Linked DNA regions of Danio rerio. The protein of the gene in region 1 purifies or fractionates together with the protein of each later gene. This does not show direct contact. Links are inferred from orthologs where the notes say so. Each region holds a gene or a part of one and is shown in the gene's direction. Other genes may lie near its edges. The genes, in order: ppp5c and ptges3a.

Region 1 (4,416 bases):
AGAACATGCAAACTCCACACAGAAATGCCAACTGACACAGCAGAAGCTCAAACCAGCGACCTTTTTGCTGTAAGGCGACAGTGCAGCCCATTGCGCCACCGTGGTGCCTCACATATATCATTATTTACTATAATATCACAGTCCCCCAAACATTACCCTTGTGTAAGAAGCTAGAAAGTTCTACACTCACCGGCCACTTTATTAGGTACACCTGTCCAACTGCTTGTTAACGCAAATGTCTAATTAGCCAATCACATGGCAGCAAATCAAAGCATTTGGGCATGTAGACGCGAATCACCTCAGACTGGTTTCCTGAACATGACAATGAGTTCACTGTACTCAAATGGCCTCCACAGTCACCAGATCTCAATCCAATAGAGCAGCTTTGGGATGTGGTGGAATAGGAGATTCACATCATGGATGTGCAGCTGACAAATCTGCAGCAACTATGTGATGCTATCATGTCAATATGGAGCAAAATCTCTGAGGAACATTTCCAGTACCTTCTTAAATCTATGCCACGAAGGATTTAGGCAGTTCTGAAGGCAAAATGGGGGCCAACCCGGTACAAATAAGGTACCTAATAAAGTGGCCAGTATTGTGTTCATGTTATTAGTCCATGAAGATTTCCTGCTTGTTTTCAAACTATATCATAATTTAAAACTTTAAAACAGCAAGCATAACATTACGTATCAATATGTGGACACTTTTGGATTCTCAGAGGCTAAAAACCAGTTTAAACCAGCCTAAGCTGGTTGGTTGGTTTTAGCTGGTCGACCAGCCTGGTTTTAGAGGGGTTTTGGCCACTTCAGGCTGATTTCCATTTTTAAGCCTGGTCTTAGCTGGTCAGGCTGGACAATGACCAGCTAAAACCACCTCGACCAGCCTGGTTTAAACTGGACATAGCTTTGGCTGGGCTCCCAGCCTGGATAGGCTGGTCAGGCTGGTTGTAGCTGGTCATCTGCCAGCCTGACCAACTAGGACCAGGCTGGAAATGGTTGGAAACCAGTCTGGAAATGGCCAAAACCCCTCTAAAACCAGCCTGGTCGACCAGCTAAAGCTAGCTTAGGCTGGTTTTAGCTTTTTTTCAGTAATGAAAAATGTAAAACAGGAAATACACTGTGGGCAATTGTTATTGTTTACATCACTCAAAATAGTGTTTATGTCATTTTTGACAAAAATTATTTTTAAAATAAAAATAGGCTACAATTTAAGTTATTATACGTTCCTATTATATTATTAATATTTTATTAATTATTATTTATTAAATTATTTAATTTATTATAACTATTTTACGATCCAATTATTTGAATACAGATTTTAATGGAGCGGTTATTAGTGTGTTAAAATGTTTACTTCTGAACGTTTGTTTATTTTTATCTATTAATTAATTTATTTTTATTCTGGGGTCTAGACTGTTCTAGACGTACCTTCCCGTAAGTGTTTGCGACAGCTCTTCGCGCGCACGCGGCAGCATGACGGAACACGGCAGCGAGAAGATGGCGGAAGAAGAGCGGAATGCCAGTGCAGAGAAACTCAAGGAGAAGGCTAATGACTACTTTAAAGGTACAATCATGCCAAATACCCGCTGCAGATAAGAGACTGTACTGATGTCGACTGTATAGGGCCGTGTTGCGTGAGTTTGCGGTTTGATGATGACTGGTGAGATCAATAAAAGGGCAGCGTGTGTGAGACAAGCACACACATGATGAATCAGAGACACACACCACCATAGACTTTTCTGCTCGTAATTCATACTTATGATAAATAAACTCGACGATGACGTGGGAGATGACGTAACACACGTACTTAGAGAGCTGCTGTTCTGTCAGGTGTATGAATGTTGGTTGGCTGTCATTACCACAGTATTAAGACTTTAATACCCTCACAAGAGCAAGGTGATCACGTGTTTTCGCTGAATACATAGTTTATTTTCGGTTTCTGTCTGCTTTTCATTCATTTTATATCGGGAAATTATCATCCTGCTGTTTTGACAGGTAGTTATTTTGATACTTGTGCTTATCCTATGGTCATTTCTGAAAAATACTTAACACGAGTTAAACTGTGGGGTGTTTGTGTTGAGGTAAAGTTGGTTTTATATTCGCACATTTCTTCATTCAACGTTCCCTGTTTTATTTAATACGCTAATTTGAATATAGGGTCTAATATCGCATGTAAATATGACTTGAAAAAGACATTAGCACTATTTAATTGACTGTGAATAATGTTGTACTTTGATATTCATTGGCTGCTAATATGATTTCACTATTTAGAATTTGTAAACATTACTTTTCTAAAATTATATTATTAAGGAGAAAGTCTGAATGTGCGAATATAAAAGCAACTTTATCAATGATATGTGTTGCATTTGAAAAGGCAAGGCAAGTTTATTTATATAGCACATTTCATACACAGTGGCAATTCAAAGTGCTTTACATAAACAGGAATAAAAGACGTGTATATAAGAAAAAAATAAAGACAAATAGTATTAAAAACAGGTTTTATATGAATGAAAAAGAAGATAAAGACATAGTAGCGCAATCTGTCGGACAGCACAGTGCTCATTCAGTCAAGGCGCATCTAAACAGATGTGTTTCAGTCTTGATTTGAATGTGCCTAATGTTGGAGCATATCTGATCATTTCTGGACGCTGATTCCAGCAGCAGGGGGCGTAGTTGCTGAAAGCTGATTCACCCTGCTTTGACTGAACTTGGAATTTCTAGTTTATAGAATTTCTAGCAGGGTGTTTACACCTCTAGTTTGGAAAAAGTCAGGAAAGTGGGTGTGTCCAGCTCTGTTTAGGTGGGAGGGAAAAGGGGAAGGTTTTTAAAAAAAATGGGAGTTTCCTTTTGGGCACGCGCTGATTTTAACCGAGACAAAACGAACACACTTGACTGTGTTTAATGACTGTAGAATGTTTGATACCGCACGTCGTATAAGAGAAAAAAAAAACTCTGCATTTCTCGGTAGCTCAGATGCAGTCGGTAGGTCAGAAAGCTGTGTTGTGTAGACTATCCTGTCTCAAAATGCGGCGAAAATTAAACACGGCGGTCGGTAATAGTTTGATTGCAGTGGTCATGTTTACACTCTGAGAGCAGCATTTACAGCAGATCTTTCAGTCCATAATATTGTAGTGATATTAACGTAAACTAAGTAACTTAGAAATCATTTTGACTAAGGTCTGTATTAACACTGAAAGAGTGCTGCTGAAGATACGAACTATAACTTTGCCATCTGAATGAACAAAGAAAGGGCACTGATTGTACACACTTACCAAATCTGTAGAGACAACACATACTGGAACCGCGTCTTTATTAAAAGGAGACGAGCAGCAAATCCAGTTTTCACAATTTCCAGATGAGAAAAGCTCTCGAATAAAAAAATTTTAGTACAAACGTAATTCAGCCGCGCGTCGTGTGCAGTAATCCACACATAATCACATTATAAAAGCAACACTAACGACCCGTATCTCCAAACAATTTTTATTCTTTTCCGTCCTCTTTTGCCAAAACAACGCGGCGTTTCTCTGCCGTCTGAACACTGTTTCAGGTACAAACAGTCTTGGAAGCTATTATGCATATTAATGAAGTTGCACCGCATACACATTAGAGCGCGCTGATTGGTTTCAACCAAGTCTTACTCAAGAATAAATGCAGCACACTCAGAGACGTAATAAGGCACTCCCTGGTACAGACGTCCACTCTACACGCTGTAATACACGCTAAAATCTCATGGCCGTGACGCAGCTTCAAAAATTCATTTCAAACCGGAAGTGTGAATTTGCGTGAAATAATGCAAAAACAACCAATTTTCACTTTTTAGCTGAATATAGGTGTCCTAATAGTGTTTTTAGCAGTGTGGGACACATATACGACTGTCAACAGCTCAAAACATGTGTTTTTTCCAGCTGAATAATCCAGTTTAATCCAGCTTAGGCTGGTTGGCTGGTTTTAGCTGATCGACCAGCCTGGTTTTAGATGGGTTTTGGCCATTTCCTAGCCAAATGGCCTAGCCTAGCCCAGCCAAAACCAGCTACGTCCAGCTTAAACCAGGCTGGTCAAGTTGGTTTTAGCTGGTCATTTTCCAGCTTGACCAGGCTGGAAATGGCCAAAACCCCTCTAAAACCAGGCTGAAAATGGGTGGAAACCAGCCTGGAAATGGCCAAAACCCATCTAAAAGCAGGATGGTTGACCAGCTAAAACCAGACAGCCATTCTAGGCTGGTTTAAGCTGGATTTTTCAGCAGGGTTGGTGTTTTGTGACCCTTTATAGAGACAGGACTACATTCACACATGTGCCGAGAACTGTTTGACCAGGCTGTGGATTAAAGCTAATAACATTGTAAACAATGTGTAATTTCTTAAACCGAGCGATCATTTTGCTTCACAAGAGCTCAGTGTGGCATCATGACTATTGG
Region 2 (4,516 bases), on another chromosome or scaffold:
TGTTTTCTGCAGTTCTTTAAGTGTTGTCTATTTATTAGACAGACAGACAGACAGACAGACAGACAGACAGACAGACAGACAGATAGATAGATAGATAGATAGATAGATAGATAGATAGATAGATAGATAGATAGATATTAATAATAATATATTAATAATTATAATAATAAAAATAGCACATTCATCCATCTATATACCTTAACTGTTAAAAATCCGCAGACAACAACCAAAAATTATAAGTTTTTATAAATATTATTATTATTATTAGTAGTAGTAGTATTAATAATAATAATAATAATGTTGATTGTTGTTGTTTTGTTTATAGCAATAATTATTGTCATTATGGCATTGCTATTATTGTAAATAATGTGTCATGGTTATTTTATTATTATTATTAATATTATTATTATTATTAATAATAATAATAATTATTATTATTATAATAATCATCATCATCATAATGATAATAATTCATTCATTCATTCATTCATTCATTCATTTTCTTTTCGGCTCAGTCCCTTTATTAATCTGGGGTCGCCACAGTGGAATGAACCGTCAACTTATCCAGCTTATGTTTTAAGCAGTGGATGCCCTTCCAGCTGCAACCCATCACTGGGAAACATCCATACACTCCCATTCACACACATACACTACAGACAGTTTTAGCTTACTCAGCCAAGATCACATGTCTATGGACATGTGGGGGAAACTGAGGCTCCCGGAGGAAACCCATGCGAATACAGGGAGAACATGCAAACTCCACATACTCCACTGACCCAGCCGTGGCTTGAACCAGCAACCTTTTTGCTGTGAGGCGATTGTGCTGCCCACTGTACCACCATGCTGCCAATAATAATAATAATAATAATAAATAATAATAAATAATAATGATAAATTATTATTACTATTATTATTAATATTACAAATTTTTCATAATTTGTTGTTTTATTATTACAATTATTATTATTATCATCACTATTAATATAACAAATGTCTACTAAAGTATTAATATTATTGGTATCATTTGTATTATTACCTTATTTCGTTTGTTATCTGCAGTTCTTTAAGTGTTGCCTTTATCAGACTGACAGATATTTGTATTTATTTATTAATATTTAATTAAATGCTTTTTATAAAATACATGTGAATGCACATGCACTTCATTCATTTCGCCTAGTGTAGTACGCCTGAGGATCCTGACAAAACAATTTCATTCTGACTCAAGAAAAAGTATGACGTATGATTTGTGTGGCCCTGCATCAGTGGACGTCCTGTACTGTACTGTCAAGGCGGAGCGAGCAGGGGAGCGAGCACTGCGTTACTATGGAGACGTGTTTGCTTAGGGAACGCGCATGGCTGGGGGCGCGCAGCAGAAGTCGCTAGAAACGTTGAGCTGATGCGTCACTGCGCGCCAGTGTGTAGAGACACGCGCACTCCTTGTGCAGGTTGACAGCGGCGCATAAACAGCTATAGCTTCCGTCTGTATGCCTTCACTGTGATCTGACAGCACAAATCCAAAACACTACCCCAGGCGAGAGGACGCGAGAGGAGACGCAGATTTGGGTGAACACTGAAAGGAGAATTCGACATGTGAGTCTGACCGGCAGTCATAGGGATGCACTAACTTTAGCTAGTTAGCAAATGTGTGCATAACCTTTATCAGCGAAACACCAGATTCTCTCTCATACGCCAACTATCATGTATGAACATTTAGGACAATACGAATCTTCCTCGTGAAGAAGCTTAGAATTTGTGTAGAAAAACGTCTAGTGGTAATTGGTGGTGGAAATAGCACACATTGTCCCCACAGCAGAGCTTAGCTAGCTGGTTAGCAGCTAGATAGTTAGGCCTGGGGTTACTGCAAGCTACTATGGCATGATTCTATTCTGTTCATCTATTCATGCTTCATATGCATTATTGTAGAATGTACAAGCAATATATGTGTCATATAAATCAACCTTTTACAGATCAAGGCTTGCAGGCTGGGTGTTCCCTATTGGAAAAGAACATGCTTAAGTCATGTTTGCTGTTTGAACGGGTTTAAGAAGGTATTAATGCCAGTTTATGCTGGTCTTCCATGCTGGAGATCAGTTGGGTGGCTATTTGGCCAACTGAAGGGGTTTAGTTTGTCATCCCAGCTTTACACGACAGGTTTGTGAGATGGTTTTGAGTACTTTCCTTCAGGTCATGCTGGTTAACAGTCTACAGGCTAAACCAGCAGAGCAAGGCTGAAAGGTTTTCAGCTGCGATCAATGATACACCATCTTTTTAAATGCATGTATGGACATGATAAATGCTAAAATTAAAAAATATGAACCAAATCTCCTTTATAAATAATATAGTAATATAATAATAAATGTTCAGCATCTTGTGGTTTCTGAATGATCACGTAAAACACTGAACCCTGGAGTAATGATGCTGAAAATTAATCTTAGAAGGGATAGTTCACGCAAACATTTTCATTTACTCACCCTTTAATTGTTTCAGACATTTGAGTTCCTTCTGTTAGACACAAAAGATTTTTTAAAGAAAGCTGGAAACCTGTAACCATTGACTTCTTGTGCTTTTTTTCCTACAATGGAGGTTAATAATTATAGTTCTTTAAAACATCTTTTGTGTTTAACAAAAGAAAAATACTTAAAGGTTTAACCACATAAGGGAGAGAAAATGGTGCGAATTCTAAATATTTGGGTGAATTATTCCAAGAATCAAAGTTATAAAGTTACTTTTTAAAGCCTTAAAATTAAAAAGTTACTTAGAATGACTGTTTTATTGTATCCTATACAGGGTATCCACAAGGTCTTAAAAAGTCTTAAATCTCAAAAATTTTAATTTAGGCCTCAAATAGTCCCAAATCAACTGAAATATTGTGTTGTATGTCTTAAATCTTTTTTAACATTCTTAATTTTCCTCTGTTCATGTATAGCTTCCCAATCTGGCCATTAACACTCATACAATCACCAACAATCTCAACAAAACTTTTCATTTAGAAATTGCATTTTGAACTAATTTACCATCATTGTTTAATTACTTTCCTTACAGTAATTGTTTTTAAAAAGTTCGCCCATTTATTTACTGCTGAGGATACTGACCACCTGACCTATATTTGTTATTATTAAATTATTATTATTATTGTATTATTAAATGTATTAAATTCTAATTATTTTTGAGAGGGCAAGTGAAAAAATTTTCCAACTGGGATATTCGAAAAAAAAAAATCCTTAGCATTTAGCTTTAAGTCTAAAATTTCCTTCATGATAAAAAGGTCTTTAAAAGTCTTACATTTAACCTAATGAAACCTACAGAAACCCTGCTTATAACTACAGCAATAAAAATAAACTCCAGATTTAAATAGGAGTTATTGTGCAGCCCTTTATTACAGAGGCCTGGTTTTGCTATAATTGTATTACATGGGTTAAGCCTTAGGTAGATTGTTAAGAAGCCATGCATGATCCTGCCAATTGATACAAATAGGTTGCCACGGTAACGTCATTGTTGCTCCACCCCCGCCAGGACCTCCTGCCCGCACATGTTAATTTAGAGCTGCACTTTTAGTGTGGAGTTTGACTTTTAACAAATGCACTTAGCTGGTTGCTCAGTTCCTCATGGATTCCATTAGAATTAAGTGATATTGTGTTTTTGAATGTCATATTAAAGTGGAGTTAGACTGAAGCCTTTTCTAAAACATTGCTTTTCATTTTTTGTTTTGCAGGCAGCCAGCTACTGCCAAGTGGTATGACAGACGGGAAGCTGTCTTCATCGAGTTTTGTATAGAAGACAGCAAAGATGTCCAAGTTAAATTTGACAAAACAAAGCTTGATTTCAGGTACATCCTTGTTTTAAGTTGTTAATAGTAGGCCTGAGTGATTTTGGAAACATTTTACATTGCATTTTTTTCTCTGCGATGTATATTGCGATATAAATTCAATTTCACCAGATGACAGTTATAGCTCTATCTGCAAAATCTTTAGTTTAGTGTGATTGGGATGATTGTGTAGGGGTGTGAAATATAAATATATATTTTAAATGTAATTTATTATATACATATAATAAACAAACTACATTCATATATCAACACAATGGTGCAAAAATGAAAGTAAATTAAACCATGTTTTCTGGAGAGAATCTAACAGTATTCAGGTACAGAAATTAAATAAATGTAAAATGTCAAATGTAAAATAACATTGCATAGTCTTCATTATACAAGTAATTTAATAAAAATAACCTTTATTAAACTTCTTTATGCACAACTAAAATGCTTTAAACGTAAAATGCTCACATAGTCTTTTTGGGTTGCAGCTGGAAGGGCATCCGCTGCGTAAAAACGTGCTGGATAAGTTGGCGGTTCATTCAGCTGTGGCGACCTCAGATTAATAAAGGGACTAAGCCGAAAAGAAAATGAATGAATGAATGCTCACATAGTCACAGGCCTTAAAAACACATGCAGATGATAAACTTTCACTCTATTATGATTAAATTAAGCAGTGTCTAAACATATCTTTGTTTTGAAATGTGG

Evidence for each region.
Region 2: the proteins of ppp5c (region 1) and ptges3a purify together in Homo sapiens (affinity purification with mass spectrometry; 5 studies listed by BioGRID and IntAct, with this or other methods). This does not show direct contact. The link is inferred for Danio rerio from reciprocal best matches to the Homo sapiens genes PPP5C and PTGES3.

What each region holds. Positions count from the first base shown.
Region 1 is NC_133190.1:2,798,511-2,802,926, reverse strand, and holds the start of ppp5c (serine/threonine-protein phosphatase 5), read left to right. Parts: upstream 1-1,472; 5' UTR 1,473-1,475; coding exon 1,476-1,566; intron 1,567-4,416. UniProt on the Homo sapiens protein: Serine/threonine-protein phosphatase that dephosphorylates a myriad of proteins involved in different signaling pathways including the kinases CSNK1E, ASK1/MAP3K5, PRKDC and RAF1, the nuclear receptors NR3C1, PPARG, ESR1 and ESR2, SMAD proteins and TAU/MAPT.
Region 2 is NC_133198.1:29,970,470-29,974,985, forward strand, and holds the start of ptges3a (prostaglandin E synthase 3), read left to right. Parts: upstream 1-1,418; 5' UTR 1,419-1,588; coding exon 1,589-1,590; intron 1,591-3,712; coding exon 3,713-3,826; intron 3,827-4,516. UniProt on the Homo sapiens protein: Cytosolic prostaglandin synthase that catalyzes the oxidoreduction of prostaglandin endoperoxide H2 (PGH2) to prostaglandin E2 (PGE2).